7 linked regions of the Macaca mulatta genome follow. The protein of the gene in region 3 binds, or shares a complex with, the protein of the main gene of each other region. Links are inferred from orthologs where the notes say so. Each region holds a gene or a part of one and is shown on either strand. Other genes may lie near its edges. The genes, in order: TSSC4, RBM48, SNRNP200, GPKOW, SRRM2, SNRPD3 and BUD13.

Region 1 (4,010 bases), on a different chromosome or scaffold from region 3:
GGAGACCTGGCACAGACCCACTGTGGACAGGCCCTGACAGTGCCTCCACCTCCTGCAGGCCCCCATGGGGGCTGCCCCACTCCTCGGCCTCTGGGCTCCCGGGCCCGGCCAGATGGGCCAGCTCCACAGGGCCCTCGCCCCTGTCTGTGGCAGGGTTCCCAAGGCCACCCCTGCCCGGCTCTCCCACCTTCCCCAGGACCCTCTTCCTCTCGTGTCTGGCCTCGACGCCTCGGACTGGTTTGGTGAAGACGACCCTCCCCGCCCCACAGCTGGAGGGGTCCTGGTTGAAGGAGGACACACAGTCAGTGGGGGCAGCCAGGCTCTGGGAGCCCAGGAAGGCCAGGGCGGCGGCCTGATTGCTCTGCTCGCTGACCTCGGTCACATCTTCTAGGCTGTACTTGGTCCAGCGCTCGGGGTGTGCCACGTAGTCAGGGACCGGAGGCACCCTTGGGGAGGCGGGGCTCCGACGGGCCCCGCCCAGGCCTTCCACTGGAGACCGGCCTGAGGGCGCTAGGGGCTGCTTGAAGCCTCCATTGTCACTCATGCTTGTGTGGGCCACAGAGGATGGAGCCCTCCTGGCCGCTCCCTCCAGGCAGTCAAAGATGTCACGGCTGCGCTGGGAGAAGGTGGAGCTCATGCCTCTCAGATGGAATGGCTGCACCGTGGCCGGGAGGAGGCCTGACGGGGGTGAGGGTGGTTCATCAGGACCTGAATCCTCCTCCCCAGGCAGCCCCAGCGGGGACAGTGCTTCCACTTCAGCACCACCGGGCAAGCTGAGGTCAGAGTCCGAGTCGCTGAGGGAGACTGTGTCGGAAGGCAGCGTGTCATACTCCGTCCCGTGCTCGCCCTCCACGCTGGGGGACGGCTCACCTGTCCCTGCATCAGCCATGGGTCCCCAGGGCCACGCCACACCTAAACCAAAACGGCCCAGGAAGTTTGTCTCTCAGGAGGAAAAGTATTGAGAATGAGTTCCCCCTGCAGATCCACTGCCCCTGGACAAGTAGAGAATCAACTGACAGAACCGTCCCACACAGGGTGGAGTCCCGCCTCCCCCTCCAAGCCCTCCTCTCACCTCTCTTGGCTGCTGGGTGCCAGTGGTTGACACTGGAGTGTGACTGGACAGCCAAGTGGGCCAGGTGAATGGAGCCCTGCTGAAGGTCCTCAGTGGCACAGGCGTGGTCGTCTCAGGCCTGGGAGTGCCCCAGCATTGCCGCTGTTCAGCTGCTCAACTGCAGGTGGGTGGGGTGGGGGAGAGGACCAACCTCAGACCAGAGCACACATGTGTGAAACAGGTTGTGTCCAGTGCCAGCACATTGTCACCCCTTAAGGTGCCAGGCAGGACCGACCTAAGTCTGGGTTTTCAGAGCCCCTGACAGGCTAGGACTCAGGGTAGGGACTTTTGACTCGTTACCTCATTTAATCGTGCCAACCCTCTGCAGGCAAGCTTGGAGCTACTAAGCGATTTTAGTAGTAAGCAGCCACCCAGGGCTTAAACCCAGGGCCGAGATCAGGCAGGAAGGCCACTTATAAGCTGCTTGCTGTGCAGGGTGAGCAGTTGGTACTCCACAAAGAGCCGGCACCTTCCTGATCCATGGGGAAAAGGTTTGCTCCTATTTGCTGGAAGATCCCCGGGAGCTCCCAAGGAATCTGCAGCCAAGGCCCTGGCATCTGAGGGTCAAGCTCTCAGGAAAGTGGGGTGTCGACCATCACCTTGAGCAGCCCTGCTAGGCAGAAGCAAATCCCCGCAGCTCCTGGAGCGACCTCCAGTGACCTTCCTCCTGTAACACTCAGCACATACCTTGCCTTTCCAGCTGGGCAGACAAATGCTGCCTCCTGTACCCATTTAGCGGTAGAGTGACTAGGTGCCTCAGAGCTTGCGTTTCCAAGCAAAAAAGACGGCCCATCCACACCCTTCTTCACTGTCCTCGGCCATCCATCCACTGACTCCTCTCCTGCTACCAACACTCCTTGCCCGCCCAGAGTGACCTGTGTCTTGTGCACCCAACAAGGATGGGGTCAGGGGTACTATTAGGGACTGTCAGTGCCCTCCACCAGGTCAAACACAGGAAGGACCTCAATTCCTCTGAGGCCTGACTCTCCTCAGTGAAGAAGCCACCCCAGGGAAAGGCGATACCCAGTACCCCCCACACTGATGACCGTTTTAAAACTGGCAGGAATGGGGCGGGGGCCATAATTTGCCCAAGTCACACAGTATGTTGCAGACGAAGCTGGAGTTCCAACCAGACCCCTGCTTCCCAGATTCGCACTCCCGTCCTCTGCAGCAGAACGCCGCCGCGGCCAGAAGCAGCCTGGTCAGCGGGGCACTCCGAGGGGGAGCGGGGATCGGGCTGCAAGACAGGGACTCCAGGAGTCCGTTCTCGGGGTTCTCGGCGAGATCCGGCAATGAGTGGAAGGGCAGAGTTGACTCCTTCATGTCTGGAGACTGAAGGAAGCCGTCTGTTTCTCCACATGAATGCAGAGCCGGGCCTTTCTCCACTCTATGTGCCAGCAAGACCTCCCCGCCAGGGAAAGAACGAACTCTCAGTGCCAAGTTGGCTCTCGGTGCGAAGTCGGGCTGGACAGGCCCGGGTCCGGGCCTCAAGAGGATGCTGTGGGTGCCAAGGGCCCGGTCGCAAGGTACGGGGGTTGGCAAGCACAGCGGGGCCTCCGAGCTCAATTTAAAGCTGCGCTCGGTGACCTTCCGGAGGCTCGGCCGGCCACCGTGGCCCGTCCTCCATCAGCACAAACCTACCGGCTCAAGGATGCACGGCAATCTCCATCTTGGTCGGCGCCGCACGTCCGCGCGGCGCGCTCAGCCCTCTGGGAAACCGAGTGCTCTGCCGGCGGAGCGCCGCGGTTTCCGCACCTGCAGAACTACAACTCCCACAAGGCACTGGGCCTCCACTCCCGACGCCTGTCGGGATGTGTAGCCCTGTGCGCATGCGCCCGCCCCTCTACGCCCCGGCCCTTGGGTCCGGCTCGGAAGCGGCCCCGGAAACGACGGCATTTGTTGGGGAACCAAGACCGGAATTGACCAAGAAGAACAGGAAGAGGAGGGGCCAGGCCTGCAATTCCCAGAATGCTCGACGGCTAACCGACAACCGGGCCGGCTTCCCGTGGTCCCAGCGCCACCTGCCGGAAACCGCGAGAACAGCGGCCGCCCCAGGCAGGAAGTGCATCATCTCGTATGGAGAACGAATGCCGTTCCCAGCACTTCCGGTCATGACCGGAAGCGGTAACTGTCGCTCCTCCTGGGCTTCGTCAATGCAGCGAGGCGGGGCTCCCCGGGATCCCACGGTCCCGCTCAGGCCAGACGCAGAGGCGGTCCCAGCCCGAGATGAAGACGCGGGGTCGTGGCCGCTGGGTCACGGGTGAAGGGGGCTTTACCCGCTGGTTGGGCCGACGCTTTCCCACCCCTAGGGGTTTACTGGGCCCTGGCCGCAAACTTGTGGGGCGTCGTCCTCACACAATTGCCCGGCCACCCTGACACCTCTGGGCCCTCAGCTCTGGTGCACTGGTCCGGGCTCCGGGAGGCACTGAGACGTCCCCCGAGGGCTCTGCGGGGAAGCTGGGGCCAGGTCCCTGGTCCTTCCGGGCAGGATGGAGGCCGCTGAATGCTCAAGCTTCCAAGTCAGCGTGGCTGGGTGGGCGGCAGCCGGGAAGGTTTGGCCTCCGCCGTGCTTGGGAGCCTGTCCAGGGGGCAGGTCAGATGCCCGCCCTGAAAGGGAAGACGAGGGCCCAGGTTCTCCCTTCGACAAGCCGCGTCTCCCTTGGCCACTGGCCCTGTTGGCACCTTGTGCTCCTTCTCAGCTGGGAGAGTTCATGCCCCACACAGTCAAGGAATCTGAGTTCCCCGTGGCTGCTAGACCTCTGGTCCCTCTGAAAGGCTCGAGAGAGAACTCCCCCAGGGCCTGCTGTCCTGGCATCCGCTGGGAAATAGGATTCAAGGACCTGCTGTGGCTCAGCCTAGAGAAAAGGAGGGGAAGCAGGACCCCCTCCTCGGCCCCCGG
Region 2 (3,967 bases), on a different chromosome or scaffold from region 3:
CCTGAGAAAACCACACATGACCCAGTAAAATCAAGTGCTTTTGTGGTAGATTATGATTTCTACTGATAGCACATGAAAGAAAATATGAATTGTAACAGCCAGAGAAGGATGGGTCTCAGAGCAGATTAGTGAGGAGAACAGAGATCAACATAAAAATAGATAAGGCATTGCATACTTCAGCCTTTTTGGAGCAGAGGGTTTATGTCACATAGAAGGCCGGAAAACACTGAGTCAATTTGCAGAAAGGAGTAACAGTAGAAACCACAATAGCTAATGCTTACTGTATTCTGACCAGGAGGCACTCTGCTAAACCCTTTATATGGATTATCTCATTTCATCCTCATACAACCTCAAGAAGTAGATAGGTCCCTTTACCATATAGATTTTACGGAACAGGAAAAACTTAAACAGGTTAAATAACTTGTCCAAGATCACAAAGCTAGTAAGCAGTGGAAATGGAAAACTTACTCCAAACCCAACATTTTTTTTTCTTTTGAGACATAGTCTCACTCCATCACCCAAGATGGAGTGCAGTGGTCCATAAATGACTCACTGCAACCTCCACCTCCTGGGCTCAACTGATTCTCCCACCTCAGCCTCCCAAGTAGCTGGGACTACAGGAATGCACTACCACGCCCACCTTGATTTTTGTATTTTTAGCAGAGGTGAGGTTTTGCCATGTTGGCCAGTCGGGTCTCGAACTCCTGGGCTCAAGCTGTCTGCCCACCTTGGCCTTCCATAGTGCTGGGATCAAATTCAACTTTTTTTTCTTTTCTTTTCTTTTTTTCTGGGACAGTCTCACTCTTTCCAGGCTGGAGTGCAATGGCATGATCTTGGCTCACTGCAACCTCTACTTTCTGGGTTCAAGTGATCCTTGTGCCTCAGCCTCCCCAGGAGCTGGGATTAAAGGCTTGCACCAACACAGCTAATTTTTGTATTTAGTAGAGTCAGGGTTTCACCATGTTGGCCAGACTGGTCTTGAACTCCTGACCTCAGGTGATCCGCCTACCTCCACCTCCCAAACTGCTGGGATTACAGGTGTGAGCCACATGCCTGGCGCCAAACCCAAATTTTTTCTGTTTTTTTTTTTTTTTTTTGAGACAGAGCCTCGCTCTGTCATCCAGGCTGGAGTGCAGTGGTGTGATTTCTGCTCACTGCAATCTCCACCTCCCGGGTTCAAGCGATTCCCATGCCTCAGCCACCTGAGTAGCTGGGACTACGGGTCTGCACCACCACACCCAGCTAATTTTTGTATTTTTAGTAGAGCCGGGGTTTCCATCATGTTGGCCAGGCTGGTCTTGAACCCCTGACCTCAAGTGATCTGCCTGCCTCGGTCTCCCAAAGTACTCTGATTACAGGCGTGAGGCGTGAGTTATTGGCGCCCAGCCCTCAAACCCATTTTTTTTTTCTTTGAGGCGGAGATCCCCTCTTGTTGCCCTGGCTGGAGTGCAATGGCGCAATCTCGGCTCACTGCAACCTCTGCCTCCTGGGTTCAAGCAATTCTCCTGCCTCAGCCTCCTGAGTAGCTGGGATTACAGGTATGCGCCACTAGACCCGGCTAATTTTGTATTTTTAGTAGAGACGGGGTTTCACCATGTTGGCCAGGCTGGTCTCAAACTCCTCACCTCGTGATCCGCCTGCCTCGGCCTCCCAGAGTGCTGTGATTGCAGGCGTAAGCCACCGTGCCTGGCCAAACCCAACTTTTACTCTACCACGCTACAGGACATTAAATTGTTAAGCATGGGATGTGATGGATACAGTGTTTCAGTAAAGTTAACCTGTAAAAAGGCTGTAGGAAGATATGCTAGATTACATTTTGGGGTAATTCAGATATGAATGAGGGAAACTTGGGGCCAAAATGACAGAAATATGAATGGAGGAAATGAAACGAGTCATTGCTTAACTTGCACCTTACCTTGCACTTTGTAAGTTCATAAATTTAATAAGATAAACTTCAGTAAAGTCTTCTGCTGGGTATTCATCTAGCGCATTGTACTGTTCAATTGCACCATATAAAGCGAATCGCTCAACTAATTCCTTCATGACTCCCACAGCAGGAACTCCTTGTATTAATAAGTACTGAGATTCCAAATTGATTGTATATACCTGAAAGAAATGCATAGTTATTAAACGTATTTCGCAAATAAGCCTAGGACGAATCTGCCTCTATTTTTTTTTTTAAACAGAACTTTGAAAACAAGAAATAATCTGTTCAACCCAGTCAGCAAAAAACACAAAATAAAATTTCTGCCATTCCCTCTGCATAAAGAGTAACAGTCCATGTGAGAGGCTACCTAAGGCATATAACAGACTACCTTCAGTCGACATTTTTTTCCAGAAATTGAGTCGGCAGAAGTCACTGGGAACAATCACTCAACGAATATTCACTGAGCGCTTACCTGTGCCAAGTAGTACTGTAAACACTGAAGATCCAATGACTAAAACCAAGCCCTATTCTCGTGGAGTTGATGTTCTAATAGTTGACCAAAAGGGTCGTGAGAATCTTTGGTACCTGGCCCAGGGTTCTTCACGCCAGCTCTAATGAGCGACAGATCTGACGGAAGCCTTGTCGTGCCTTTATTTCCGTAGGTTAGCCATATGGCGCTAGCGCTCACAAAAAGCTACCGAGGAGAGCGAATGAAACCAAAAATCACTTTACCTTGACAGCACGAGGCCGTCGTCCCTCCCGATATTTGGCCCGCGTGTCGCACACCGCCCTCTGGACGTGGTGGTCAAATAAACTCCCTAACTCCCCACCGCTGGACGCCATCTTGCCTACTTTGATCCTCGCAGGGAGGACAACATCCGCCCTGCTGACCTCCCTTTTATCCAATAAGAGAGCGGGATGAGTTAAGGAGTGTCAGGATTGGCTGAAGAATCGACAGCGTCGGCCATCGTTTCCTGCGTGCGAGGATTTGATGAACGAGGTGCCGCCCCCGAGCGGCTTGGCGGAGAGGCGCGGTGGGTGACAGAAGCTTTCTTGTCCCACCCCACTACAGGCTTACGGCGAGACGCGCAGCGGGGAGAGGGGGCGGGGCCTCAGGGGGCGGGGCCGATCGATCTCCTCCGGTTCCGACGTCCTCGGCCTGCCAGGTCCCGTGTCCTTTGCGGCGCTAGGGTGGGCAAACCCAGAGCGACGCTTCGGGACGATGTGGGGCAGCGATCGCCTGGCGGGTGCTGGGGGAGGCGGGGCGGCAGTGACTGTGGCCTTCACCAACGCTCGCGACTGCTTCCTCCACCTGCCGCGGGGTCTCGTGGCCCAGCTGCACCTGCTGCAGGTAACGTGCTGGCCCCGGGCCACCTGATCTTCAGCCTGGGGTCGGACAAGGCCGAAGCCTCTCAGGGACGCGGCGGGACACCGGCTGCCACCCGGGCGCCCCCGAAGCGTACAGAGATTAGGGTCCCTCGACGGCAGGGCCCTTCTGGTTAGTCTCTGCATCCCGCAAGTCCAGTGCAGCCCTGGGCTCGTCTTATCCCAGGTCTTTTCACTTGGTGAAACTGGGCCTAGAAATGTCCTAATATTCTACCACTGTTTTTATAAATATTCCTCATTCCAGGCTGGAAAAGTTCCTGATAAGTGGTTTGTTTTTGTTATTTTAAAAGGTGCTTTTCTTGCCAGTCATTTCCAGTTACCTGCGCTGCTGCCGTCCGGGCCGCGAGAGGGAGGCGCAGAGTTGTTGGTGGAGCCCCTGTCGGTCCCCGGGGACTGAGCACCGCGTCCCATGAGCGGGAAAGCTTAATACAGTAATGGTTCTGCCCTGCGTCCCAGACCCTCGGAACACAGCTGTAGTGTGTCAGGAACACATAACGTAGTTAAGATCACTTGAAGCTCTGCGATCAGTCGCCCTTCTGGACGTTGTGGTTGGGATGTTTCGCAGTTCTAACCACCGGTGGAGATACAGCGTCCTTATTTTCGTAATTAAAAATAGAGGCACATGGTCTCACGAGTTTGAGTGTGGTTATGGGG
Region 3 (3,500 bases):
ATACCAGACTAAGACTTCATCAACATACATCTTTGGGAAGGAAGAAAACCGACTGAAATCTTAAGAAACTCTAGACACTAAGTGTTTATTATGGTTCACTCTAGCAAAAGGCGGCTCAATAAATGTAACAGGACCTAGGCATGGGGAAGAAGCACTAACACCCAGAAGTAACCTTGCAGCAATGAGAAAAAGCAAACTGAACTTACATTAGCCGAGAGGGTGCAGCGCACAACAGCCTCATCCCCTTCCATGTCATCATCAGATGCCTCTTCTCGAACCTCCCCGTACACATCTTCATCACCTTCCTGTGGAAATGGCCCCAACTCAACCATTATCTGGAGCTGATCCTGCATCACCACAGAACCTCTCCCTCAAGTCACCCTAAATTAGCTCAATGGTTAGAGAAATGGCTTTGGGGTGAAACCGAGAGCCTACTGGAACCAAGGTCAGCCTTATTCCAGTGGACATGTAATAGAAAGACTGCTTGGCACAGACTTATTAGATGCATCTACTTTCTGTTTCTTACCTTAGGCTGCCACAATGGCAATCAACTGGACCATAGCCTCTTTCTAATACACAAACAATCAACACTCAAAAACAGTGATCAGCTAACAGAAGAGAAGAGCTATGCAGAGGCACGTCTGAGAAAGCAGATGGTGACTCGGGAATGAAGAGATCACACTAAGCTTGCTCACCACTCCATTTACTCATACACTGCACATTAGGCATACTTGGCACAGTGTCATAGTCAAAGCAGGTGCTTCAGTAACGAGCACTGCTAAATGAATGAACTGCTACAAGCAAAGCAGTTTGTTGCTACTTAAAATCATCAAATCCTATTAACTATACTGTAGGAAGTGGCTTAGCAATCACCTATTGAAATCGCCTCATTTTATAGAAAGAGAAACTGAGGCAAAATGACCTGCCAAGATACAGGACTCAAATTCAGAAGTCTTGGCTCCTAGTCCTCTAACTCTCCCCATGCAACCCCTTCTTCCAGCCCTGGTATATATACCAGGGATCCATTTTCCCTTTCAGGAGCCAAATCTACTCACTGAGAACTCTAAGGCACTCTGTAATTTTTTCAAAGTACCCCACTTATTCCTATTTATATTCAAGGAATTCTATTAGACGGTAAACATTAACTCCACTGACTTAACCATGTACGAACTACAGCCATGCTCTAAGGCAAATGTGCAATCTTTTGAAACAGGCAGTGGGGACACAGTAATGAAAAAAGGGAAAATATTGTAATACGTTTAAAATGCAGTAAAACATAGCAGATACATTCTCAAAGTATTCACTGTACTTTATCTTTTGTCTTTCTTTTTGCTGATCCACTTGGTATATTTTAAATAATTACGTTGCTTTACATTTGTTAGTTTAAATTTGCTGTAGAAAAGTTAAAAGATAACTGCATTTTTTTTAAGCAAAAGAACATATAATGCCTAAGTCTGAAACCCACACACCACCATAAAATGTATCTGGTTTAAACTAGGGAGCTTCTTTACACTACAAGGGGTCCCTTTACCTTCATCAACTTCAAAAACAAGAATGGACTGGGCCTGTTTATCACTCACCTCCTCATCAGACTCAAACTGCACATTCACACCATATGTCTCATCAATGTTGTCATCTGAAACGACGAAGGATTAGAAAAAGAGGGCAGTGAATGGCTAGTAAAACAAGCCACTCTGGAGCCAATGTCCTCCCCAACTACCTCTCCTCAGGAAAGATCTAAGTGCTAAGGACACACACAGGCACTTAGATGATCAACACGAGAGAGCCACCTATGCTGCCACTGCCAAGACCTTCTCCACCTGCCAGCCCTGGAGTCAGCCCAGCTCTGCTTGCTCAACCACTTGAGCCCCCAAGGCTCTGCCCACATTTTCTCCCATATTCTACACAACAAAAGGGTCTCAGAGTAAGGAACAGCTGCTGAAATCTAGGGATTCTGGTGTCTATCAATTATAACTCTTCAAAAAACACACAACAAATTATGGGAACTCACTGACACTAAGGTTTTTAAATGAATGATGCTAGAAGATGCATGCTTAGGGGTCAACAACAACCAGTTAACATGATCAGGACATAAAGAGCTCACTTACCCATATTTTGGATTTCCTTGTCTCCACCATAGTCTGTGATCTTTTTTCCCAAGTTCACTAGCACGTGGTATCTGGTATCATCTGTTTGACCCAGCAGCAGGTCAATCTCCTTTCGCCTTTCCTTGTCCCGCAGCTTTTCATTCTTTAGAACAGCTAGAACCTCATCAGCTGCCCCACAAAGGATATCACGTGGCTGGTAGCAAGAAACAACCAATCAATATTGAGAATGATGACAGACAGAACATCACCAATCAGGTTTATGTGGCGGCAGGATGCGAACAGCCACACTTTCTCAAAACCTGTTGCATACTAGGCTCTGATCTTTCTCATTAATGCTGATTTAAAATGCCACAACTAAAGGAAGACTCATCTGTTTTTAAAAAGATTAGCTAGGTGGCCTCAAGCAGCAGGACACAGCTTCCACAACAGCTTGCCACATCTCCAGGTGGCAGTCACTTGGCAGATCTCCTCTAGCCTGCCACACTTTTGTAATTCTTTGTCCTCACTTCCTCTAGCACCCACATCAACAGAGCTCCTCAGACTCATAATGGTCCCCAATCTAATCACACATGTGTAATGGTTAGGAACACAGATTCTAGATATAAACTATCTGGATCATATCTTGGCTCTGCCAAATACTACTTCTGTGACTTGGGAAAATTACTTAATTATTCTTGCCTCACATCTCTCTTCTATAAAATGGAAAATGAGTATTAACAGCACCTATTCACGGAGTTACGTGAGGGGGCGGGAGAAAGACACGTGCTGTTCCACACAAATCGAGTGCTCGGTAAATACAAGCCCCTTCTGCAGACCAGTACATCCCACAAAGGGATCCAGAGGCAAGGTTCATCTGGAGCCTCCCAGTTGTGACCCTCTCCTTTTCTGACACACGGTCTCATCCTCTGGCCGCCTCGCTCTGAGAATATAGAAATAAAGCAAACTTGGCCGGCTGTGGTGGCTTGCAACTGTAATCCCGGCACTTTGGGAGGCCGAGGCGGGTGGATCACGAGGTCAGGAGATCAAGACCATCCTGGCTAACACGGTGAAACCCCATCTCTACCAAAAATACAAAAAATTAGCCGGATGTGGTGGCGGGCGCCTGTAGTCCCAGCTACTCGGGAGGCTGAGGCAGGAGAATGGCACGAACCTGGGAGGCAGAGCCTGCAGTGAGCCGAGATCGCGCCACTGCACTCCAGCCTGGGCAGCAGAGCGAGACTCCAGCTCAAAAAAAAAAAAAGAAATAAAGCAAATTTGTTTTCTCTATACTCTTACAACAATTAACACAGAAGGCTTCTGTGACAATTCCTCCCCACCAGCAACCAATCCAAAAATTGTGCAGTGGACACAAGCTGGTGTCCTCAAATTCAATTCCGTTCCAACACTAACTAC
Region 4 (4,015 bases), on a different chromosome or scaffold from region 3:
CCACCTCAGCCTCCCAAAGTGTTGGGATTACAGGCTTGGCCGACTCCAAGGTTTTTATGCTGAGTGAGAGGAAGGATGGATGGAATTTTTGGTCACCTGATATGTATAAAGCTGCAGGAGGAGGTTTATAGAGGGAAAAATTAGAGGAATGAGGTTAAAGCTGGAACAGGATGAAAGGATGAAGAGGGAAGTGAGGATCTTTTTTTTCTTTAAAGATGAAGGAGCTGGGCACAGTGGATCATGCCTGTAATCCCAGCGCTCTGGGAGGCCAAGGTGGGTAGATCACCTGAAGTCAGGAGTTCAAGACCAGCCTGACCAACGTGGCGAAACCTCGTTTCTACTAAAAATACAAAAACTAGCCAGGCGGTAGTGACACGTGTCTGTAATCCCAGCTACTTGGGAGGCTAAGGCAGGAGAATCGCTTGATCCCGGGAGCGGGAGGTTGCAGTGAGCCGAGATCGTACCACTTCACTCTAGCCTGGGCCACAGGGCAAGACTCTGTCTCAAAAAACAAAAAACAAACAAAAAAAAAAAAATTGAAGGAAATCAGAGCACATCTGAAGGCTGAAGAGAACAGTTCAGTTGAAAGAGAGTGTTCTGGGGCTGTAGGAGAACTAGACTCCAAAGAAGCAATGTAAGAAATTTATGAAAGAAGAGGTGAAAAGTCAGGTCTGTGGGTATGAAAGACAGACTTGGTTACTCCTGTAGACACGCCTCTCACATCTCCTCGTCACCTTCCATCATCACTCCTTCCCATTCACTCCAGACACACCACATGTTGCCTCACTGATGGACACACACCACATCGATTTTCTGCCACTATGCCATTGCTTGGGCTGTTACTACCAACAGGAACACTCACTCTGTTCTTCCCTCTCACTAAACCCTACTTATCCTTCCAGACCACTCTGGTCTAAGTCCCCAGCATCTCTAGCCTGGACTACTCATCCCCTTGCTTCCACCTTCACTAATGAGTCTGTTCACAGCAGCCAGAGGGATGCTGTCAAATCATAAATCATATTTCATCTATGCTCAGGGCTTGCCTAGGCTCTCATCCCACTCAGAGTAAAAGCCAAAGTCCTCACAATGGCCTACAAGGCCCTGCCTTGTCTAGCACCCCCATCTCCTTTCTGACTTCGTCTACTATCCCTTCCCCTCACTCATTCCACTTCAGTCACACTAGTCTCTTTGGTGTTCCGCAAACACTCTAGGCAGTGTCTACCTTCAGGGCCTTTACATTTCCTGTTCCCTTTGCTGCACACCTCATTCAGATAATCCTAGGATTCAAGTACGTTTTTAGCATCCAGATATCCAGATTCATTTGGTAATGCTTCCAAAAAGGATGACAGGAGAAAGGACAGGTGGCGGGCCTCTAGCACACAGACTTTCCCTGCTATGTGCAGGGACACAGCCTAGCAGACAGGGCAAAGAAAGGCTGGGGCAGGAGGGGGACAAGGGGCCAGCTCACTGTCTCTGCCCGGGGTTCGCTGTCTGCCCCTTCCCCGCTGGGGGTGCATCCTTTCTGGATCATGGGGATAGCGAGCGTGGGGTCGACACCCGCATTCTCTCTCTCTTCCAGAGACTTCTTGGATTCTAAGGGAAGAATAGGAGGGAGCAATGAAGTCCCACTCTATCCTTCCACCTTCTTCATCTTCTTCCTTCACTGGGGAAGGGTAAAGGGGCATCACTCACCCTCAATGAGCTCCTTCACAGCCTGGGACAGCACCCCATCTGCCAAGGCCTCAGTATCTGTGGATGGCCCAGGGGGCCGGGCTGGTGACTGCCTGCGATGGCCATTCTGGATCAAAGGGATGACGAGTTCCTTGGGGGCTTCCTGGGGCTTCACACTGATGTGGACACAGAGGGGTGGGGTTGGGAGAATGGCAGTGTCAGTGGGTCACACTCCTTTATTCAGAGAAAACACGAGAGCCAAACTCACCCCAGCCCCACAGACCATGCCTTCTCTACTCCATGTCTGGATCTCCTGTACCTCTCTGATCGTGCATTCTTTGGATTATCCCCCCCAGTGCCCCCAACTCGTAAATGTCAGTGCCTTCGAGAAATAAGTCCTGGACTCTCTGTTTAACTCAAGACCGGCTTCCACAATGGCCCACAAATCACTATCTTCAGCCTAGACCCTCCCTAGCTCCAGGTTCCCAAACAGCTTCCCAGATGCCTGATTCTCTTCTGGAAATCCCTCCCTCAGACTCTCCTCTCCTCATTAAGCTGATGGTGGCCTCCATCAACCTGAATCTGCCGCTCCATCCCGTTCCCCATATCAGAGAAGCCCCACCACTTCAGCTGAGACACTAGCAGGTCCTGTCATTTTCTCATTCTTTCCTTCTCCCAGAACGCACACACCTCAGTGTCCTCAAGTCCTAAAGACACTTCTTCTCAGTGATACATCCTCTCTTCGCAATTCCCACGGCTATCAGGCCCAATTTCCCCACCCCTCTTATAAACTCCAGCCTTCTGGCCTTCACGAATTTACTCAGGCTGTGCTTCAGGCTTAACAGGTCACTGTCACCAAGACAAACGACTGAGTGAGGTTCCTCCCTCCCGCTTACGCCCACCGCAGCGATTTCCAAGGTGTGAAAGACCCGGCGCGTCACCTCTGCAGCTCCCTCCCTTCCACGGTTTTCAAGAAATCCTTCTCCTCCGGAGATGGCCTCGCGCCGTCTCCCGAGTCGGCCAGCCGCCTCCGTGCGGACGTGCGAGTGAAGCCGAATGAAATTGGGGCAGTGGAAGCAGCCGTCAGCGGCAAAACACCCTCTTCGGAGTCAGCCATCTTGCCACTTTTCCCAGGCCTGCGCGCTGCTTGCTGGGAAATTTAGTTTGGGTTCAGATCGCTAGGGGCCGGCCAAAGTGCGTAAAAACTACCTTCCCATCAACCACTGTGGCACCGGCGGGAGGGGGCGGTAAGGGGCCGTGGGAAGTAATTGTCGCTCTTTCAAACGTCGTGGGAGTGCGTCGCGCCAAGTGCACAGGGAAATGTAGTTTTTTTTGTTTTGTTTTGTTTTTGTTTCTTTTTTTTTTTTAAGATGGAGTCTTGCTCTGTTGCCCAGGCTGGAGTGCAGTGGCGTGATCTCGGCTCACTGCAACCTCTGCCTCCCGGGTTCAAGCGCTTCTCCTGCTGCAGCCTCCCGAGTAGCTGAGGCTACAGGCATGCGCCACCACGCCCGGCTAATTTTTGTATTTTTAGTAGAGACGGGTTTCACCGTGTTAGCCAGGATAGTCTCCATCTCCTGACCTCGTGATCCGCCTGCCTCGGCCTCCCACAGTGCTGGGACTACAGGCGTAAGCCACCACGCCCGGCCGGAAATGTAGTTTTTAGCGAGGTAGGCATGGTGGAAGGTGGATTCATTCTTGCCAGGCATTGATTCCTTCGTGTAGGCGTTTGACAAGTATTTATGGAGCGCCTACTGTGTGCCCTACTCATGTGGGAAGTGTTGATGAAGTAAATCATTTAGAAATAATCAGCCAGGTGTGGTGGCGTGCACCTGTAGTTTCATTTAGCCCACAGGCTGAGGCAGGAGGATGGCCTGAGGCCCAGGAGTTCGAGGCTGCACTTAGCTCCTATCGCGCCACTGCATTCCAGCATGAGTGACAGAGCGATACCCCGTCTCTAAAAAAGAAAAAGTCAGGGTCGGGGGCGGGGGAAGGAGTGTCAGTTGTCTACAATAGTAAATAATAGACATAAAGTGCCTACTGGCCAGGCGTGGTAGCTCATGCCTGTAATCCTAGCATTTTGGGAGGCCTAGGCTGGTGGATCACCTGAGGTCAGGACTTTGAGACCAGCCTGACTCATATGGTGAAACCCTGTCTCTACTAAAAATACAAAAATTAGCCGGGCTGGTGGTGGCACCTGTAGTCCCAGCTACTCAGGAGGCTGAGACAGGAGGATTGCTTGAACCCGGGAGGCAGAGTTTGCAGTAAGCCGAGATCCCGCCACTGCACTCCAACCTGGGCGACAGAGCGAGACTCTGTCTTAAAAAAGAAAAAGAAAGAAAGAAAG
Region 5 (3,500 bases), on a different chromosome or scaffold from region 3:
GACCCAAGGAAGGAGGACATAGGGCAGGGCAGGGAAGGGGCAGGGCAGTCTTCTCGAAGGTGCTGTTTGAGCGGAGTCTTGCAGAACGAGGAGTTCACCAGGCGGACAAGGAAATTCCAGGCAGAAGGAACAGCATGTCCAAAGGCATGGGCTCTCCTTAAACTGCAAGGCGCTGGGTGTGGCTGGAGCACAGGGCATGTGTGGGGGCGGGCAGGAGGAGAACACAGGGCGGGCAAGGCCCGTTGGTGAAGAGCCTCACACGCCACTCCCGCAGAGGTGGGGCTTTGTCCTGCAGGCCACAGGGCGTCCCGAAGGATTTGTGGAGTGGAGGGAAGTAGCCAGATGTGCGTTTTAGAAAGGTCCCTCTGGCTACATGTGGAAGAGAATGGCGTGGAGGCGGGGAGACAGGGAGGAGGCTGTGGACAGAGTCGGGAGAAGATGATGGTGGCCAGACCAGAGCCCTGGCAGTAGCAACAGGGAGACAAAGCTAGAACCCTGGGACCAGGCTATGTGTTGAGGGAGGGAGAGGAAGAAACCAAGGACCCCCCAGTCCTGGCCTGAGCGCCCCTGTGGATGGCGCAGCCCTTCGCCAGAACAAGGTGCAACAAGCGGGGGAGAGAACAAGCGCCTCTTCCCCCACAACCAGATGCCCAAGGTCACGTGAGACACCCAGCCGGGAGCTCACACCCCAGGGCCCTGTCTCTGGATAAGTCACTCCCCCACCCTCCTTCCATCTCAGGCAAGGCAGCACTCACCTCCGCTCGCCAGGGGGTGGCTTCTTGGGGCTTGCAGGTTTGGGCAAGGCCTGAGGGCCAGGCTTAGCAGGGGAAGGCGAGGAAGAGGAGGAGGAAGAGGAAGAGGAGGAGGAAGAGGAAGAGGAAGAAGAGGAGGAGGAAGAAGAGGAGGAGGAGGAGGAGGAGGAAGATGAAGAGGAGGAGCTGGAACTGGAACTGCTAGAGCGCCTCTTCCGTTTGGCTGGGGTTGGCTCCGGAGGACGTCCCTCTCTAACAGCCTCCTTTGGGGCTGGGGTGGGGCTGGGGACCCTGTGGGAGGAGAAGAGTGTCACAAGGAGACAAGCTGCCCCAGCCCCAACCCTACCTTCCTTGGCCTGGAGGAACGGCAGTGGGGGGAGGGGTGCCTGAGAAAGGTGCTGGGAGCTCTCCTAGCCCTGTAAGCCAGCAATTCTCTGGAGAGCAGTGGTGCGAGCTGACCCAACCTCTGCTAACAGAAGCAACAGGCTGGGGCCCGCAGCATAAGGGATCAAGGTTAAACCTCAAGAATGTCCCTGATGGAGGAATAAGGCCTCTGGGCTCAGGTGTGGAAGCTGAAGCTGGGTAGTCTCCTTCCTCGGAGAGCCGCAGCTTGGGGAGGCCCCTGTGAGTGCAGGTTGGCTGGGGAAGGGGCCGTCCTGCCTGGAGGCAGGGAGAGGGATGGGATGACCTCTGAAGATCCTTCCAGCCCAGGGAGTTCCTCTTGAGGTCTAACTGCCATCCCTCCTGCTGTAAAATTAAGTCCATTTCCTCTAGTTCTGTCCTCTGTAGAGACGGAAAACTTATCATTATCCTCTAGAGAATGAACCTTCGGAGACTTTTATCTGTCCCACTCCTCCTCCCTCCGCCCCCGCCCCAGCATTCTCTTCTACCCCCAGCCTGAGGGTCAAGGTCCCCATACCTCCTCCAAGAGTCAAGCACCTGTGACATGGTTTCTCCCTCCCCACTCCCAACCCATCCCCAATACCTCCCCACTGAAGGATGCTAAAGTCAAGCTCCCTCACCTCTTTAGTGCCACCTCAGGTTGCACAGGAAGGCTAGAGCCCTCCGAGTCGCTAGAACTGGAGCCAGAGGAGGAAGACGAGGACGACGACGATGAGGAGGAGGAAGAAGAGCTAGAGGACGAGGAGGAGGAGGAGGAACTCCGCCGCTCCTTTGCTGGCTGCAGGGCGGCTAATGCAGAAGGCTGCTGGGCCCCAGTAGAGGCAGGTGGCTCCCCCACATCAGAGTGGGGCACCCCGGGGGCAGGGACAGAGAGCATGCCATTGTGGTCACCAGCAGAGGACGTGGTCGTTGCCACCGCCCCAGAGGAAAGGGACTGAGACCCTGCTACGGGGGTGGTCTGGGCAATCAAAGAACGGGACTGGTCTGAAAAAGCAGAAGGCACAGGAGACCTCGGCTGATCCTGTGCTGGAGGGAGAAGAGACTGTGAAGGAGCCTGGCCCATTCTAGAGGAAGGGGAGGGAGCCCGTTCAGAGGTCATTCTAGACTGGCTTGGGGCAGACGGTGGTGTTCTGGACCTGGCTCGGTCAAGGAGCGGTGGTGAGGTTCTGCCACTGACACGCTCATAGGCAGAGAGGGGCACCCTGGGGCTGGTGAGGTTTGCACCAGACAATGTTGGAGCCATCCTAGCACTGGTGAGGCTCGCGGGGGCCAAGGCTGCAGCGGTTCTGGAGCCGGCAATATTCACAGGAGCTGTGGCATGTGCAGACCGAGGACCCACCAGGTTTGCAGAGGCTGGAGCCTGTGGTGTTCTGGAGCTGGAGGGATAGTTTGCAGCAGCTGGTGGGGTGCCAGAGCCTGTGAGACTCAGAGCTGCCAAGGCAGCTGGGGTTCTGGCCCCTGCTAGGTTCACAGCTGGGGCTGTGGGAGTGCGAGGGTCAGCCAGGTTCACAGCCGAAGGTGCCACCGCTGTTCTGGGGCTGGCCAAGTTCATGGCCGCTGCTGCAGCTGGCGTTCGAGTGTCAGCCAGGTTCACTGCTGTTGGGATGGCAGGTGTCCTGGCGCTGGCTAGGTTCATGGCTGCCGCAGAGGCTGCAGGAATCCTGCTGGCAAGGTTGGCTGCTGGAGCGGTTCTGAGACTCATGAGAGGCACCGGGGCTGGAACCTGGGACATTCTTGCAGCAAGGCCAGCAGCAGACATGGACGGAGGAGGCCGAGCAGTGCCAAGACTGATAGCGGTCAGGGCAAGTGCAATCCTGGACTGAGCATGATTTTCTGGCACAGATGTTCTCTGGTGGTCAGGTATTCGGGGACCTGGACCATCCATCATGGAGCCACCGGCTTGCTGCAGGACAGACATGGGTGTTCTAGAGCTGCCGAGGGGTTCAAGCATTCCAGGTGATCTGCAGCGGTCAAGAGGTGTTGGGGACATGCTAGGACGACTAAAGCAGCTCATTCTGGAGCTGTTGAGTGCTACCGGAGGTGTCCGCGAACCAGAATGATTTCTTGTTGCTGGAGGAGTAGCAGATCGTGAACGATCAGAACTACTTCCAGATGCTGAACGCCTGCGGATGGCTGGAGGAGATCTTGTTAAGGACCGTTTGCCCCGAGCTGCTCGTGGAGTACGGGATCTGGAGCGGCGCCGGATAGCAAGTGGTGAGCGACTTCGAGAACGTTTGCGTGGCAACAGTGGCGTTCGAGACCTAGAGCGGCGCCGAATAGCTGGAGGTGTCCGGGACCTAGAGCGGCGGCGTGTCACTGGTGAGGTTCGAGAGCGGGACCTTCTTC
Region 6 (3,972 bases), on a different chromosome or scaffold from region 3:
GTGAGCCATCGCGCCCAGCCGGTCATTTTTTAAAAAGTTCTTTGCATCTCTGCCCCCAGCTCCCTTTCAGGCAGTGGTCCCGTCATGCTTTCCACACTGTTGCAGCAGTTTTAACTGTTGCAGAAATTTTAACAAGTTTCTCTGCTTCTAAACCTTACGTTAGATCCATTTTGTAAATAAATGCTGCTACCTTTTCATTGTGTCATTCTTTACCTATAATTTTGCAGTGGTTCCCCACTATCTTCAGCATAAAATCTAGGCTCCTAAGGCTGAAAGCCAGGGATCCTCACCAAAGGAGCCTGTCTTTTCAACCTCATGTTCTCCTGTCTTAGGTGCACTTAGGTTCCAACTTTGAGTCGTCGCTCATGTCAATAAAAAGTTCACTACTTGATGCTTTTAATTAGGTCAAGTCAGGTGCTTTCCCTTATTTTCCTCCATGACGGGCATTTCCTGCATATAGCACGTTGTCACTTTGATATTTTCTCAATATCCTTGATGGTAAAGTAAGGGAAGGGTTAAAGAGCTGCATTAAAAGTACAGTCTCCTCTCCTAGATATGCATGGTCCTTAGGTCTGTATCTGCTCCTTCCGTAGGGTAGCCACCAGCTACATGTAGCTGTTGAGCACTTGGAATATGGCCACTGGGATTGAGGGACTGGGTTTTTTATTTTAATTCTATTGTGTTTTAGTTAAGTTTAATTTAAATAGCTACATGTGGACATGAGCTACTGTATTGGACAGCTCAGGCCTGTGTTATGATTGTCAAAATGTAATAATCTACAATTAAGGGTTGACAAATAACAGTGCAACAGATTAACATTCCAATCCCCCTCCCCTACACACACAGTATTCGCTAATGGTCCTTTAGCTGAAGATTAAGGGACATAGGGTAGCAGGGACACATGGTCGATGGGAGATGCTCTCTTTTCATTCCTGTTTTTACTTCTGTCCACCCCACCATTCCTCCTCACCCGACATCTTGCACATATTTGCCAGATAGTTTCCTCCAAGCCAGGAGCTGAGCTTTCTTTTTTCTTTTTCTTTGATAGAAAATGCAGCTTTGGCGTTTTTGCTAAGTTTTATGGAGTGCCAGGCCTTGAAGGAGGCATGACGTGTGCCGCATGCCTTCTCAGACTCTGAAAGATGAACTGACTGTTGTCTCTTTCACTGTAGAGCTCTCTTCCTGCCAAGATGTCTATTGGTGTGCCAATTAAAGTGCTGCACGAGGCCGAGGGCCACATTGTGACATGTGAGACGAACACCGGTGAGGTATATCGGGGGAAGCTCATTGAAGCAGAGGACAACATGAACTGCCAGGTATTCTGCTTTGCATGTGAGGCTGTGTGGGAGGAATGGCCCTGTGTCTTGAAGGACAGAAAGGTGTGGGTTGGGGGTCTTCTGTAAATTGTTCTCATTCAGCAGTGATTTCCTGAGTGCCTAACACATACCAGTCAGGTGCTGTTATAGGCTCTGGGGATGTGGGCATGAACAAAACACATAGTCTTGAGGCAGAAAAGCCATTTGGAGATTTGGAATATTTTACTTCGCCTTTTTTGTTTTTTCCATCCCCAAATTTGGGGACCTGTTTGGGAGAAGTTCCTTCAGTAGAATCCTTCAGGTTCAGAGCCATTATCCATTTGCCTCCACTTGCTTTGCAGTTAGGAGAATCTTCTCACATACTGTGTTTGTTTCCCTTTTCTCTTGGAGGAGGAGTCTCATTTGATTATTGCAACTACCTTGTGAGGTAAGCAGGTTTGGTGGTAGTCTTGTCATCCATAAAATAGGGAGAATGAGATTAAAGGACTCATCACTCTGATAGTAAATAATGGAGTAGTTTCTTGATACGGTGTCCTTCTCATGGCGCAGCTTTGCCTTTTGCATAGTCATCTGAATTTTTATAGCATTGTTTTTCAGTTGTATCTTCACACTTTCTTTGTTCTTTAAACCATTGGTTAAGAACTTGGACTTGGGAGTCAGAGAGAGATGTGGGTTTGATTCCTAATTATATGACCTTAGATGTATTAATCACTCAGTTTTCTCATCTGTAAAACGGGAGTGTTATTATTTTGGGTTCTTTGATGTAGATGCCAAGACAGAATTATGCAAGGTATTTATTGGGGGAAATGACAATAAAGGATAAAGGAACAAGGAAACAGTAGTAGGCAGGGAAATTTTCAGTCCGTGATGCTGGTCTGACTGGTGAAACGAGAGGGGAAAGAAGGAGGATTGAGCAGGAAGAACCTTAGACTACAGTGTAGTTTTGAGGAAGTCTCAGCAAGGCAGTGATTGCTCATTAGAAGAATCTAACATGGGGCAGAAATGGGCAGACTGGCACCCCTGGTGTGTTCATTCCATTGGCTGGCAGCCTGGGGAGACAGTCTCTCTCCCCAAGTTGAATGCCATGGTGGACTGCAAAGATGGAGATTGTCGGCTGCCTTCACTCCTCATAGCCTGTTTTCTTTTGGAGGGAGATCTGAGCAGCACACCCTTAAGACTGCCACAGGGATAATATCCACACCCCCAGGACTTTTACAAAGATCAGATGAGCTATATGTGTGCAATAGCTGCTCGGTGCCTCACATACTGTAAGTGTTCAACGTATGGTGTTTACTGCTTTTTTCCAGATGAGAAGGTCAGAGAGGTAAAGCGTCTTACACCACGGTCAGGTATCCTGACCATCTATTGGTTTGCGCCATTCATTTATTTGTGATTTTTCTGTAGCTTTGAGCGTCTATCATCTTCCTGCGAGGTTGACAAGCTTGGTCAGTTCCCTGGATGCAGAGAAGTAGACCTCTGGTGACTCAGGTTTATTGCATCATTGTCAATAGATCAGTTTATCTATTGACAGTAGATAGGTTTATCATCTCTCTTTCATATATCCAGACCTCTGGCTTAAGGCATGCTCATCCACTTTAAGGTACTTTAATTTGGTGAGGAGAATGCAGGACTTGGGTTAGTGAATCTTAATGGGTTTGTCATCTAGCTATATGTATTTGGACAACCTGCTGGGTTTCCAGGGCCTTTGTCATCCCATCCATAACATGAAGGTGTCTAACCAGATAACCTCGGTGGCCATTCAGAGATGCAGTCCACGTGACACAAAGTGCACAGAACTTGGAGTCAGACAGACCTGGAATCAGCTTGCAGCCTGCCACCTAGGGTGACTTGGGGTGAGCTTTGGACCTCCTTCGTCCTCTGGTCCCTCTTCTAAGTCAGGGATAAAAATAGCTCCTTGGCTTCAGAAGGAACCATAGTGCAGAAGAAATGAGTAGATGCATGTCACATGCCTGACCAATGGTGGGGGGGCAGCCACCTGCCTCCCTGCTTGTATTTGTATGCTAGTGCTGCCAATAACAAAGTTTCACAGATTGGGCAGCTTAGACAACACAAATTTGTTTTCTCCTAGATCTGAAGGCTGGAAGTCTGAGATCAAGGTGTTGGCAAGGCTGATTTCTTCTGAGGGATGTGAAGGAAGGATCTGTTCCAGGCCTCTCTCCTTACTTATAGATGACTCTCTTCTCCCTGTGTCTTCACTTGGTCTTCACTCTGTAGTGTTTCTGTCTAGATCTCTTCTTATAAGGATACCAGGCATGTAGAAATAGGGCCCACTCTAATGACTTTTCTTAACATAAAGTTTTTTTTTTAATAAAGTTTTTTTTTTTTTTTTTTGAGATGGAGCCTTGCTCTGTCGCCCAGGCTGGAGTGCAGTGGCGCGATCTTGGCTCACTGCAACCTCCGCCTTCCAGGTTCAAGCGATTCTCCTGCCTCAGCCTCCCAAGTAGCTGAGACTACAGGCACCTGCCACCATGTCAGCTAATTTTTGTATTTTTAGTAGAGACGGGTTTCACCATATTGGCCAGGCTGGTCTCGAACTCCTGACCTTGTGGTCCACTTGTCTCAGCCTCCCAAAGTGCTGGGACTACAGATGTGAGCCACCATGCCCGGCTTGCCTTTTTTTTTTTTTTTTTTTTTT
Region 7 (3,500 bases), on a different chromosome or scaffold from region 3:
GAGAGGGATCTGGTGAATCATGACGGACTCTCCTAGGAGATGCACCTGAAGAATTATGCTGAGGCCTCCTGGGAGGAGAAGGATCTGGAGAATCATGACAGGCCCTCCTTGGAGGTGAAGTGTCTGAGGAGTCATGACGGATCCTCCTGGGAGGAGATGTGTCTGAGTCATGACGAGCCCCTCTGAGGGGAGAAGGATCTGGGGTGTCATGACGGGCCCTCTTAGGAGATGAATCCGGGGTATCATGACGGACTCTCCTAGGAGATGAATCTGGGGTATCATGACGGACTCTCCTAGGAGATGAATCTAGGGTATCGTGAAGAAAATGCCTGTGTGAGGGTAGGTCTTCATTGTGGCCTAAACACAAAAAACAAAGAGTCAGATTCCCACAAATGCTCTGTCCCTCTGTCCACCCCCACACCCAGTTTCAAGACATGCTCCAGCAGCACATACCTCAGAACTGCTCAAAAAGCCCAAAAGGCCTGCACAGTTTTCTTGCTTAGCGGCAGCAAATCACCACTCTGAATATCTTAAGAATAACCCCTCCACCTACCAAGTCATAAATTTGCAAAGCATTTTCAGTACATTTTTCATATTATACCCTTTAAGGTAAGCAGGGCAGGTACCCTTGTATTATGAACAGAGCCTCTGTTTTCAGCTGAGGAGCTGAGCGATTTCTTACCCAAGGTCACAGCTACTAAGATGAAGACACAGGCTAGAATCCAAGTCTTCTAACTCCCAGTCCAATGTTCTTTCTAACACCTCATTTGTGCAGAGTTCCCAGCTAGTGGCTCCTACTGATATTTTGCCTAGATACTTTATAGTTTGTACTCACTCCTCTTTCAAAAGGTAAATTGACTAAAACGGTGAGTATCAAAATCAAATGCTGTTAACTATTTAATCCATTTCACTGTGCTCTTTGTTAGAGAGCAGAAAAAATCACAAAAAAAGAAAGGAGCAAGTAATTACCAATCACCTACTGTGTGCCAATGTTTTATAGAGATTACCTGATTCAATTCTCATAAGCCTAGGACATAAATATTGTCATTTCCATTTTATAGATGAGGAAGTTAATACTCAGAAAGATTAACTTGCCAAAGTCATATTGCTAATAAGTGGTGGAGGAATATTTAAATTCAGCTCTATTTGACTCCAGAGTCCATATGCAATCTTTAAAATACGTAAATCTTTAAAGTTAAAATACAAGTTTGAGACCTTCCATTTTCAAAGGCACCACAGAATGAAACATCTATAGCATCTGGAATGGTTTCAAAATCCAGTTCTTCCTCTACCTCTATCTCTTGTCATTGAGCCCCATAGCCCAAATAAAAATAAAGGCTGGGCAGGAACCAATGAACACTTGCTAAATGAATGAATTAAACCAAGTCACCTCCTTTACTTTGGGGAACAGGCCTATCTGATTGGAATCCACTCCACAGAGAAAAGTATGATGTCTGTGGGGGGCCTAACAGTAAATCTGAAGGAAGTAAGGGTCAGAGATTGGTAAACGTATTTCCAGTAACAGATTGGGATGAGGAAGTGAAAGCAAGGCAGAAGAAAAGGAGTAAGTGAGTGAGTGAGTGAGTGTGTGTGACTGACTTTCTAAACATTCAGATACCGAAAAGCACTGTGTGTGTGTGTCTGTATGTCTTCCTAGACAAACAAGATATGGAGACCAAAAGACTCTCTGTGGAAAAGAATTCTGGTTAGGCTACAAAAATCAAATGCCTACTAGCAATTAAGCAATTCTACAGATATTTATTAAAGGCAGCTCCTTGTGCCAGACAGGGGACTATCATGGCAAATAAGACCAGTCTATGCTCAAACAGATGTGACACACAAACACTTTTTATCCAAGTCTCAAGGACTCAAATTTTTTTCAAGAGAGTTAAGTTATAAATATTAGCTTAGGAAGAGTCTAAAGTGGGCAGGTGGAGGGTAATGCACTATAAAATACCAATATTTAAGGAAAGAAGAGAGAAATTTACTAACACAAACAGAACAAAAAACATTGGTCCTTGACCCCCCCAGAAATGAGTTGCTTCATTGTGGAAGAGGACAGTGGTAGCTAAAGTCCCCAAATTCTGTTCCTGTTTCTTGTAAACTCCTCCCAAAGTCTTGCCTATATACCAAGGGCTCTCCTATTCTGAGTCAGAGGAATGGGTGCTCACAGGCCTCCAAATTAGTCACCAACCTCAGTAACCCTAATGCCAAAATACAAGAGAAAGAGGAATATCTGGTCTCTAAGTTCCTATGTCTTACTACTTCTGAAGAAGTCCAGCTTCCTTTTTCCTGCTTTATTTTTCAGGATCAATGACATGCTAAAAAAAACTATGCATTCCTCTAAAAGAAAAGTGTAGAAAAGAAAAAAAGACCTCCCCTACTAATGGAGATTTAGATTTATCTACTGTTGGAACTCACCTCCCAGAAGCTTCCATTTGGCACTGGAACGAAAGGCCTCCATCTGCTTTACCTCTTCCGGCCGCTCATCCACAAACTCTGCCACCTGTGGGAGTAAAGATTTCCTATGCTGAGGAAATCCACAGGATCCAGCCAAGAAGCACTGTCTCAAGAACCTGAAGTTACAACCATTCCGATTCCTAACCTAAGGGCGCACACATATCCAACATGGTCATGAAGAAATAAGTAGGGGTCTTCAGTTATGCTAGCTCCATAAGCACCTGATTGTCACTGTATTAGTTGGATAATTCAATTTCCCCGCAAAGGTTAATTTCTTTCATTACAAACCTTTTTATTAACCTGCTAGGTACACAACAGCCACTTGTAAGCTAACACTAAATTCCTATACACTTTTACTTCTACATTAAGAGTGAAAACATCGGTGGCCCCCCATCATGCCTAGCACTAATCAAGGACTTTGGGTTTCTATGAAACCTTTCTTGTTGTAGGTAGTCACAATAATAGATTTTCTTGAATACAACCAAAAACAGCCACTGAGATGTACACAGAATCATTAATCTTTAAGAGCTAAAACCACATTTCTTATCTTCCAAACTTCCGAACGAATCAGAATCTTCTCTATAGTATTCCTAATAAATGGCCACTCACCCAATCCCTTCCTGACAAGGACCTCATTATCTTACAACGCAGTCCACTGCATTTTTCAAAAATGTTAGAAAGTTCTTAGTTTTACTGGTCTCATCTCTACCTTCCTATAACTTCTTTGAATTGATTCTAGTTCTGACCTCTGATGCAACTGATCCCTTTTCCACATGACAAATTTTCAAAGAATGATGGCATAATAAATCCTAGTTACAGAGTAGCAACTATGTGCAAGGTACTGTGTTTTGTGTTTTACTCATATAATCTAACTCGATTCTCACAATAACCCTGCAAAGAAAGGCTCCACACTACTGAATAGCAAACTGACTCAGAGAAGTTAAGTAACTTTCTCAATATCACAAGCTAACAAGTGGCAGAACTGGAATTTAAATCCAGGTCGTAACAGCCCTCTACTTCTCCGAAAATCCTACCATCAT

What was found.
Region 1: the proteins of SNRNP200 (region 3) and TSSC4 are in contact, whole or in part, in a cryo-EM structure (PDB 7PX3), measured with the Homo sapiens proteins. The link is inferred for Macaca mulatta from reciprocal best matches to the Homo sapiens genes SNRNP200 and TSSC4. Residues at the interface, in NP_054733.2 of Homo sapiens: Arg1438, Arg1475, His1502, Lys1748, Gln1749, Val1752, Asp1753, Thr1756, Trp1757, Tyr1761, Arg1762, His1778, Leu1781, Ser1782, Asp1783, Leu1785, Ser1786, Glu1787, Val1789, Glu1790, Gln1791, Glu1807, Met1808, Asn1814, Met1817, Ile1818, Tyr1821, Tyr1822, Asp1928, Ser1931; in NP_001284587.1 of Homo sapiens: Val198, Ser199, Ser200, Phe201, Asn202, Gln203, Asp204, Pro205, Gly211, Arg212, Val213, Ile214, Phe215, Thr216, Lys217, Pro218, Arg220, Gly253, Pro254, Val255, Glu256, Leu257, Ala258, His259, Leu260, Ala261, Gly262, Gly303, Phe304, His305.
Region 2: SNRNP200 (region 3) and RBM48 share a complex: the UniProt entries of both Homo sapiens proteins name them as parts of the minor spliceosome. The link is inferred for Macaca mulatta from reciprocal best matches to the Homo sapiens genes SNRNP200 and RBM48.
Region 4: SNRNP200 (region 3) and GPKOW share a complex: the UniProt entries of both Homo sapiens proteins name them as parts of the minor spliceosome. The link is inferred for Macaca mulatta from reciprocal best matches to the Homo sapiens genes SNRNP200 and GPKOW.
Region 5: SNRNP200 (region 3) and SRRM2 share a complex: the UniProt entries of both Homo sapiens proteins name them as parts of the minor spliceosome. The link is inferred for Macaca mulatta from reciprocal best matches to the Homo sapiens genes SNRNP200 and SRRM2.
Region 6: SNRNP200 (region 3) and SNRPD3 share a complex: the UniProt entries of both Homo sapiens proteins name them as parts of the U4/U6-U5 tri-snRNP complex. The link is inferred for Macaca mulatta from reciprocal best matches to the Homo sapiens genes SNRNP200 and SNRPD3.
Region 7: SNRNP200 (region 3) and BUD13 share a complex: the UniProt entries of both Homo sapiens proteins name them as parts of the minor spliceosome. The link is inferred for Macaca mulatta from reciprocal best matches to the Homo sapiens genes SNRNP200 and BUD13.

What each region holds. Positions count from the first base shown.
Region 1 is NC_133419.1:2,307,463-2,311,472, reverse strand, and holds the start of TSSC4 (U5 small nuclear ribonucleoprotein TSSC4), read right to left. Parts: upstream 2,801-4,010; 5' UTR 2,753-2,800; intron 1,722-2,752; exon of another isoform or gene 1,581-1,721; intron 1,230-1,580; 5' UTR 1,073-1,229; intron 913-1,072; 5' UTR 890-912; coding exon 1-889. UniProt on the Homo sapiens protein: Protein associated with the U5 snRNP, during its maturation and its post-splicing recycling and which is required for spliceosomal tri-snRNP complex assembly in the nucleus.
Region 2 is NC_133408.1:126,862,844-126,866,810, forward strand, and holds the start of RBM48 (RNA-binding protein 48), read right to left. Parts: upstream 2,801-3,967; 5' UTR 2,771-2,800; coding exon 2,660-2,770; intron 2,107-2,659; coding exon 1,916-2,106; intron 1-1,915. Other genes in the region: peroxisomal ATPase PEX1, read left to right, coding at 3,150-3,278. UniProt on the Homo sapiens protein: As a component of the minor spliceosome, involved in the splicing of U12-type introns in pre-mRNAs.
Region 3 is NC_133418.1:5,035,329-5,038,828, forward strand, and holds part of SNRNP200 (U5 small nuclear ribonucleoprotein 200 kDa helicase), read right to left. Parts: intron 2,302-3,500; coding exon 2,109-2,301; intron 1,637-2,108; coding exon 1,581-1,636; intron 306-1,580; coding exon 207-305; intron 1-206. UniProt on the Homo sapiens protein: Catalyzes the ATP-dependent unwinding of U4/U6 RNA duplices, an essential step in the assembly of a catalytically active spliceosome. Plays a role in pre-mRNA splicing as a core component of precatalytic, catalytic and postcatalytic spliceosomal complexes.
Region 4 is NC_133426.1:49,204,849-49,208,863, forward strand, and holds the start of GPKOW (G-patch domain and KOW motifs-containing protein), read right to left. Parts: upstream 2,801-4,015; 5' UTR 2,789-2,800; coding exon 2,613-2,788; intron 1,848-2,612; coding exon 1,693-1,847; intron 1,594-1,692; coding exon 1,469-1,593; intron 1-1,468. UniProt on the Homo sapiens protein: RNA-binding protein involved in pre-mRNA splicing. As a component of the minor spliceosome, involved in the splicing of U12-type introns in pre-mRNAs.
Region 5 is NC_133425.1:4,049,204-4,052,703, forward strand, and holds part of SRRM2 (serine/arginine repetitive matrix protein 2), read right to left. Parts: coding exon 1,775-3,500; intron 1,536-1,774; exon of another isoform or gene 1,441-1,535; intron 1,044-1,440; coding exon 756-1,043; intron 417-755; exon of another isoform or gene 1-416. UniProt on the Homo sapiens protein: Required for pre-mRNA splicing as component of the spliceosome. As a component of the minor spliceosome, involved in the splicing of U12-type introns in pre-mRNAs.
Region 6 is NC_133415.1:28,770,555-28,774,526, reverse strand, and holds the start of SNRPD3 (small nuclear ribonucleoprotein Sm D3), read left to right. Parts: upstream 1-1,172; 5' UTR 1,173-1,190; coding exon 1,191-1,316; intron 1,317-3,972. UniProt on the Homo sapiens protein: Plays a role in pre-mRNA splicing as a core component of the spliceosomal U1, U2, U4 and U5 small nuclear ribonucleoproteins (snRNPs), the building blocks of the spliceosome.
Region 7 is NC_133419.1:117,438,531-117,442,030, forward strand, and holds part of BUD13 (BUD13 homolog), read right to left. Parts: intron 2,507-3,500; coding exon 2,422-2,506; intron 358-2,421; coding exon 1-357. UniProt on the Homo sapiens protein: Involved in pre-mRNA splicing as component of the activated spliceosome. As a component of the minor spliceosome, involved in the splicing of U12-type introns in pre-mRNAs.